Linked DNA regions of Danio rerio. The protein of the gene in region 1 purifies or fractionates together with the protein of each later gene. This does not show direct contact. Links are inferred from orthologs where the notes say so. Each region holds a gene or a part of one and is shown in the gene's direction. Other genes may lie near its edges. The genes, in order: ranbp10 and armc8.

What was found.
Region 2: the proteins of ranbp10 (region 1) and armc8 purify together in Homo sapiens (affinity purification with mass spectrometry; 5 studies listed by BioGRID and IntAct, with this or other methods). This does not show direct contact. The link is inferred for Danio rerio from reciprocal best matches to the Homo sapiens genes RANBP10 and ARMC8.

What each region holds. Positions count from the first base shown.
Region 1 is NC_133193.1:23,393,504-23,397,338, forward strand, and holds part of ranbp10 (ran-binding protein 10), read left to right. Parts: intron 1-799; coding exon 800-992; intron 993-3,269; coding exon 3,270-3,391; coding exon of another isoform or gene 3,392-3,406; intron 3,407-3,835. UniProt on the Homo sapiens protein: May act as an adapter protein to couple membrane receptors to intracellular signaling pathways.
Region 2 is NC_133184.1:29,548,332-29,552,663, forward strand, and holds the start of armc8 (armadillo repeat-containing protein 8), read left to right. Parts: upstream 1-1,335; 5' UTR 1,336-1,342; coding exon 1,343-1,387; intron 1,388-4,332. UniProt on the Homo sapiens protein: Component of the CTLH E3 ubiquitin-protein ligase complex that selectively accepts ubiquitin from UBE2H and mediates ubiquitination and subsequent proteasomal degradation of the transcription factor HBP1.

The sequences.
Region 1 (3,835 bases):
TGAACTAATTTTATTTTTGAAGTCTTGGTTGCAGTATTTAGAGGGCCAAAACAAATTGCCCTTATCATTACCGAATAACAAATAGATTTATAGATAAATATATATATATATAACAAATATAGCAAATTTAAAATGAATTGTATGCAATTACAAACAATTAATGATAAATCAGTTTTAGTCATTATTATTATTAAAATATTATATTAAACCTTACATACCTTATAAACTTTAGACGTTTTATTAAGTTTGATATCAGTTCAAGAAATACCGTACATAATTGCATATATAATTTAATAATTATTTATTAATACTTTATCCCATTAAATAACGTGAATGAGATGCATTACATTTATTAGACAATATAGTAAAAATGCAAATATTTGTATTGTTCCTAAAAATAGGCTTCTTAGGCTCATTAATTTCATTCTATTTCCACAAACAGTTTTCGAATTTCCTTCTATCACGCTTCAATAATGTCTTCATGAGATTCACACTTTTTTAACTTGCTAACCTTTTAAATCAGCAGCTAAAAGCGTTACTTAAAAGATCCTAGATATTTGTGTAGAACATAGTAAAGAACAGATGTTTCATAGATGATTCATAATTCTGTGGGTGTAGATTCTGTGTGGATCTGATCATGAGTAACATTTATAAAAGATGCAAAACAGATAATTCATCCTGTCGTTTGTTCCACCTGTGCTGCACTTTGGGTGATTTATATTGATTAAAATGAATGTACTTTCATTCACACTTTTCCTTATGATACTTTCCAATGTGTGTATCTCTTCTCGTGGCTCAGGCGCAGACAGTCCCACATGCAGTAACGGGGTCACTCCTCCAAACAAAAATAAGAGCCACAACAAATACACAGGCATAAGCTCTGCATCCTCCTCTCCATCCTCCTCTCCCTCCTCCGTCAACTACTCTGAGTCCAACTCCACCGACTCAACCAAGTCCCAGCCTCACAGTGCCACCAGCAACCAGGAGACTAGGTCTGTGTGTGGATGTTTTTTTTTTTCGTTGTGTTTGTCATTGACAGTAAAGAAAAGAACACTATGCATTTTTCTAATGTGATTTTCATAGTTTATTTTTCTCCATGTTGCCACTAGACTGGGCCTTAACAAAAATGTGGGGGCTCGTCCGGGATTTGCACATTCTTGAGCAAGTCCTAAAAGAATAATGATTTTCTATAAAAACTAATTCACCCCAGGGGGTTATACAAACTGATATAAAATAATAATTAAAAAAAATTGGTTAGAAAGTTAAATACAATTTCAGATGGAATTCTAGGATGGAAAATTTTGAGGAGCTACAAGTATACAACATAATGTCTGCTTTAATAATGCTTGATTATGGGAAAAATCATAATCACAATTATTTTGGTCGTAATTGTAATCCCAATTATTCAAAACGATATACAGTTGAAGTCAAAATTATTTCCCCTCCTGTGATTTTTTTTTTTTAAATAAATACATATTTCCCAAATGATGTTTAACAGAGGAAGGTTTTCGCAGTATTTCCTATTATATTTTTTCTTCTGGAGAAAGTCTTAATTGTTTTATTTTGGCTAGAAGAAAAGCAGGGATAACTATTTGTAAAACTATTTTAAGATCAATATTATTAACCCCCTTAAGCATTTTTTGATTATCTGCAGAAGAAACTACTGTTATACAATGACTTGCCTAATTAACCTAGTTAGGCCTTTGAGATGCATTTTAAGTTCAATGCTTGTATCTTGAAAAATATGTAGTAAAATATTATTTACTGTCATCATAGCAAAGATAAAAGAAATCAGTTATTAGAAATGAGTTATTAAAACTATTATGTTTAGAAATGAGTTGAAAATATTCTTCTTTCTGTTAGACAGAAATTAGGGGAAAATGTAAAGGGCCGCTTATAATTCTGACGTAAGTAAGGGAAATAAGTACAATAGAAAAAAAATGAAACAAGCTGTTCTTTATGCATCGTTCTTTACTGTAAGAAAAAACTTTAATTAAAGCTACATAAGTCCTTCAGTCATGAGCAATGAGTGAGTTTGTTATTTTGTTGTTTGATTAATGATAAAAACAGTCAGCAGCAGGAATATTGCGTGCTGTCACTTTAAGAGGACTACGCTCTACTGATCTACTGTTTTACTTTCACATGTCTTATTTCTCAACCTGTTTGTTTATTACATAAATGAGGGTTAATATGAGTAATCACACCACGTTTTGACACAAATTTGCATGTATTTGACCATTAAAGCACTCACATTAAGATGACGTTAGATGTGTGTGTTCTGCTCGTCTCTGAGCGCACACCCACAACAACACAAACTCTTTATGAATGAATGTTTTTTCTTAATTGTTAGATGCCAAAATCAAAACTGAATTTGGATTAATTGCACAGCCCTAGAAGAATTCAGATACATTGAAACAGTGTTAAGTGAGAATGAGAGACTTCATAAGGATCTCAAAGTGAGGGTTGCCGCATCTGGCAGACTATATCACGCTTTAAACAGAGCCTTTCTGGGAATGAGAAATCTCCACCAGAACAAAGCTAGCTGTTTATAACTCCACCTATGTGCCTACTCTTTCCTACGGGTGTGAGTCTTGGCCACTTACTAGCTGCAGGAACAACAGATTGCAGGCGATGAAGATGCGGTACCTTAGACAAGTCTCTGCCAAAACTCGTAGAGACCAGGTAAGGAACCAGACCATTAGGACAAACCTACAAGTCGAAGCACTGATTGAAATAATTGACAGGCATAAGATGAGGTGGTTTGGTCATGTTGTCAGGATGAAAACCACAGGGTTCCAAAGCAGACGCTAGAGGCAAGAACCCAAGGAAAGAGGTAGGCCTTGAATGAATTGGATGGACTCGCTTACCCCAGCATTCCAAAAAAGAGAAGTAGACCCAAACTGCGTCAGAACAGTGGCCACAGACAGGAAAAGGTGGCAAAAACTTTGATCAGCCTCTACACCGCAAGGTGGAAGAGGCCAGGAATAAACCAAAAAAATGGTTAATGTCATTAAGAATTAACTAAACAAATTCCAATATTTTCACAGACCCATCCCCCAACTTCATTTGAGTTTGGCACCTTTGCCTTACCTTTAGGCACATGTTATATAATGGCCCCCAGCAACCAGGAGACTAGATCTGTGCTTCTACTGATTTGTGTTGGTGGTTGTGGTTTTGACTTTGAAACAGAAAAACTGAATATGGATTTGGATGCCAAAATATAAATTCGGAATCTTGTCTTGACTTGTGTTTGTTTTGTGCATTGACAGTGATAGTGAGATGGAGATTGAGGCAGAACATTACAGCAATGGTGTGACAGAAAGCTCAACTCGCATTATGAACGGCACATACAAACACCAGGAAATCCTGCAGGCGGATGACAACAGTGTCGGCAATGGAGTAGCCGGTACAGGACATATTTAACTGACTTTATTATTTTTATTGTTTTTAGCCCCTGTTCATTCTTGATTGAGCTGTGACTTGCTCTTCGTCTGATTCTCTGTCCTTCTCCCTTGAGAGACACTTAATTGAGCTCCTCTATTATTCAGCCTATTAAATGTTTTTATCCAAGGTTGCAAGGAGACAGAGACTGGAAACTTTTGTAAGTCTAGGTAGAGTGTGTAGTTTTTAAAAGCACCCAGTGATTTATTTTCTTTTTCATTTTCATTTTAGACTTTTTTTCTTTCATTAGATTTCTTTTTGAATTTTATTTGATAAAAACTTATAATATAATATAATATAATATAATATAATATAATATAATATAATATAATATAATATCAATGAAAAGTATGGGGTCAGTGATTTCCTGTATATAATAAAACAGTTGTTTATC
Region 2 (4,332 bases), on another chromosome or scaffold:
AGGGAAGAGCGATTCAGCACGTTTTTACAAAAAATCAAAACAGGTCGCACTACAACCATCTGCAGTCGCACTAATGCGCCCAAATATGTTATGAGGTCGCATAGATTAATTTTCAGGCGCATATGCGACCAAAATGGTCGCAATTTCAGCTTCAAATGTTGTAACAAGCACGTCTGAAATGAGCCCGAATTTCTGTAGATTCAAAACAGTCAGCACGGATATCCCCGCCTCTTAAAGGAGCAGTACTAAATTACAAAGGGCTCAAAAATAGTCTTCTGGCGCCATCTCGTGGACACTCTGACACGCTTTGAGTCTGAATTTTACAAATTTAATATAAAAAAAATATTTATAGGAAAACTGTTATTTATAATTACACCAAATAAATATGATAATTATCTGTAATTTCAAACACATCTTTTGGCCAAATTTGAGGATTGTATACTTTTTTATATGCCCCAAATACTCGATACAATTTTTTAATTAAAAATTTTTTAATTCAAAAACTACAAATCTTATCAGCATGAGGACATACAGCAACCATCTCCTGAGCAAAAGACAGCTTTTGACCAAATTTGGGGCTTGTAGCATCTAAGCCCTGGGAGGAGAAGCGATTGCTTTTTTTTGGTCAGAAGCCGGAATAATAATAATAATAAGAATAAGTTTAAGTAGCATTACAGTATGTTGGCTTTCTCAAGCCAACATAATAATAAGAATAAGTTTAAGTAGCATTACAGTATGTTGGCTTTCTCAAGCCAACATAATAAGTCTGACTTCAACTGTATATATATATATATATATATATATATATATATATATATATATATATATATATATATATATATAATAATTATTATTAATAATAATAAGATTATTATCATTATCATCATCATCATCATTATTATTAGTATTATCATTATTATTAATATTATTATTATTATTATTAATGAAGATGAAAAGATTGTGAATGTTTAATCATTGTTATTTCAGTATTTTGTGTGATTTTTAAAAAAAGTATTAATGCCTTTCTCCTATTATTGTTCAAGCATTTGTTAATAAAAATAGGGAACTAATCAATAAAACTTAAAGTCATAAAAGTCAGAAAGCCAAAAAGTTATAGGAACCATAAATATTATGTACATGTCATGTTATGTTCATATTTATTATGTTATATGATATATATTTTGTGCAGAACTCCTTAGATCCCGGAATCCAGTGGTGTGGAAAGTGCTGGTGGGAACGTTCTGCTGGATAAGGTTGTAACGAAAGTGCCGCTGTAAATAGTCTGCTGACTGAGCTACGTTCGTGTGGAAAGTGCCGCTGTGAATATTCCGCTGAGTTAATGATGGCGTGCCTGTTGGAGGCCCCTTTACGCATCAGCGTGTTATCTGTGAGTCTCTTTGGTTATTCCTTTTAAAAACTCACATTTTCACTTCATGGTTTTTCAGATATACACTACACACATTACATAGACCTTAGCGGTTAATCTTAACTTCACCGGTGTGGCTTTTCTGATGACTGCTTGTCTGTTTATGTGGCTAACAGCAGATCTGGATGGGCTCAGAGCTGTCAAATCAAAGTTATATTTAGTTTTCTATCTATATTTAGAGCCTCGGCTTCAAAAACAAAATCAAACCTGCTCGATACTGTCTGATGAAGTGCTTAAGGGATGATCTGATGGGCAAATGTGCTGGAAACGCCCCCCTTTTGACAGCCCTGTAGTTTGTGTCCAGTGTGTTTTGACACATGTTGATCTGCACTCATTGTGGTGGGACACCGGTGCAATGATGAGATCACCTGTCAATACTGTGGTACCTGTACAGAGTAAAGATTAAAAATAGTGATTATCATTCTTAACCGGTTATTAAGAAGTACTTCAGTGGTAGTGTAGAAAAGTATGGTGTTACTATGATTCCTTTTGGAGGTGACCTCTTTTAAAAACTAGCTTTCATGTTTTGTTTGAATTGAGGTAAAGTTGGTTTTATATTCGTTTATATATCGCTCCTTATTGTTTACCACTTCATTGAATATTCACTCTGAAACCAATGTAAGTATGACTTCAAAACAGCATTGACACTATTTGATTGGCTATAGACCATTACAATGTGGTGATGTCATTGGTTCATGAACATTCCCTGCTTGTTATCAAACTAATTAATAACTGTAACAAGAGGTAATTCACTCATAACTTAGTGTCAAAACAGCTATTATAACATTATTTATCAATATGTGGCTCTTTTTGGATTCTCGGAAGCTATATACATTAAAAATGTAACACAGGAAATATGTTTGGACCATTGTTTTTGTTTACATCCTTCAAAATGGTCTATAAACAGTGTTGTACTTTGATAGTTGTTGAGAGCTAATATGATTGCATTTTTTAGAAATTATATTATTAAGGAGAAAGCCAGAATGTGTCAATATAAAACCAACTTTAGCTTAGTCTTTTTTAGGGCTGCACAATATATAGTTTCAGCATCAATATCGTGATCTGAGCATTCGTAATATTCGCATCACAGGATCTTCAATGCTGAGTCTGGATTATATTAGTTTATTTTGTATTAAATATTTTTTGAGGCCTGTGATGATTTTAAAAGCAATCAGACCTAAGAAATTGTACTGTTTGTAACTTAAAATGATTAGCTAATAATAAATAATTTTATTGAACTGTTATATAGCGAAGACTATGCCGTATTATTTTACATTTGATTCTTCAATAACTATATGCAGTCCTCAGCATAATTAAGTGCACCCCATTTTTGAAAATGAACATTTTTATACATTAGTGAATATAAACAATGTATTTTGGTATGTTTAAATAAAACAGATTTATTAAACAGATATATTTATTCAAATAATATTTTAATCAACAAACATATTTAGAAATTGAAAGATTATACAATTACATTCAAGCAAAATATTGCAAAAAAAATTAAAAATAAAAATAAAATTACAACCTACAAAATTTCAACAGAATTTTTAACTTTTTTTCAATTATAGATATTATTTTTCTATAACGTACATTTGGGTGTACTAGTTTTTGGACCGTTATCGTCAGTTATTTTGTTAGATAAGCTCCAGATTTGGCTTTAGTGCTGACTAATCTAATGTATATGCACAATTATAATATAACTTCCTATTAAAAATATGAATTTAAAAGATAGATTTGTGAGGGGTGTACTTGTATATGCTGAGAACTGCACCTGAACAGTGTTAAGACATCATGGAAAACAATAAAACATTTTATTTTATTTATTCTTTTTCTTTATTGAATGTATCTATAATTGTAGATTGTCAATTACATGTTTTGCAGATGCACTCTCTTAAAGAATCATGTAAAAAATCATGTATAAATTATTTCCAAATAGAGATATTCAAATCATCTTGTGAAATTGTGTTCATATCGTACACACACATACACACACATATATGTAGGTTAGATTTTTCCAATACCGTGCAGCCTAGTTTTGTATAGTATCTTCTTTTCTGTTCTCAAATGTTTTTAATGTTCTTCTCTAATTTAATCAAATCAGTAGAGTGATACTGTTAAAGCGTTAACTCTTTGAAGTATGATGAATAAATGCTCTTATCAGAAAGTCAAGTTATTATTGTGCATATCAACACAGTTTCTGTTCACAGTGTTCTTATTATTTATGATTTACACCTGAGGTCTCTGAGACGCCCATAAGAATTTTGAAAATTTTATCAGCATAGTGATATTTCTGAATTCTTGTCATGATGTCATTTATTGTCGTATTACAAAACTGCAAGGCATTCAGACCCTAAACAGATGACAAGAGCACGTGTTTTGGCCTACATTCCATCCCACACTTTAACCAATGTCAGATAAATGTTAATGTTTATGTAAGAAGTGCAGCCTAAATGCAATGACCTCTAAAATGACAGCCACATAACTCTTTAGGGCTGGGTAATCAGAGTTAGACATAATGCTTATCCCATAATTATCCCACATCATTCAAATGCATTGTTGCAGTGTGTTTAAAGCTCATTTTGTGCTGGAACAAGTTTTGTTGGTGCCTTCTACAAGTCAGTGTGAATTTTTGAGCTGTTGGAAATACTGGTAGGTAAATGCAGTTTTTAAAAATAATTTTTTTATTTGATGTGTGAATGTTATGCTTAGCTTTTTTTCGAAGTGTATTTTTTTCATAATTCTTTTCATGAATAATATTATTAATAATAATAATTATTATTATTATTAGGGCTTGGTTATTATTCGAAAAGTCGTCGAAATCGACATTCAGAACCTATAATCGATCTAATTTTACCGGGTACATTTTTTCAATAACTTTTCCTAGCACATGTGGAGTGACATGA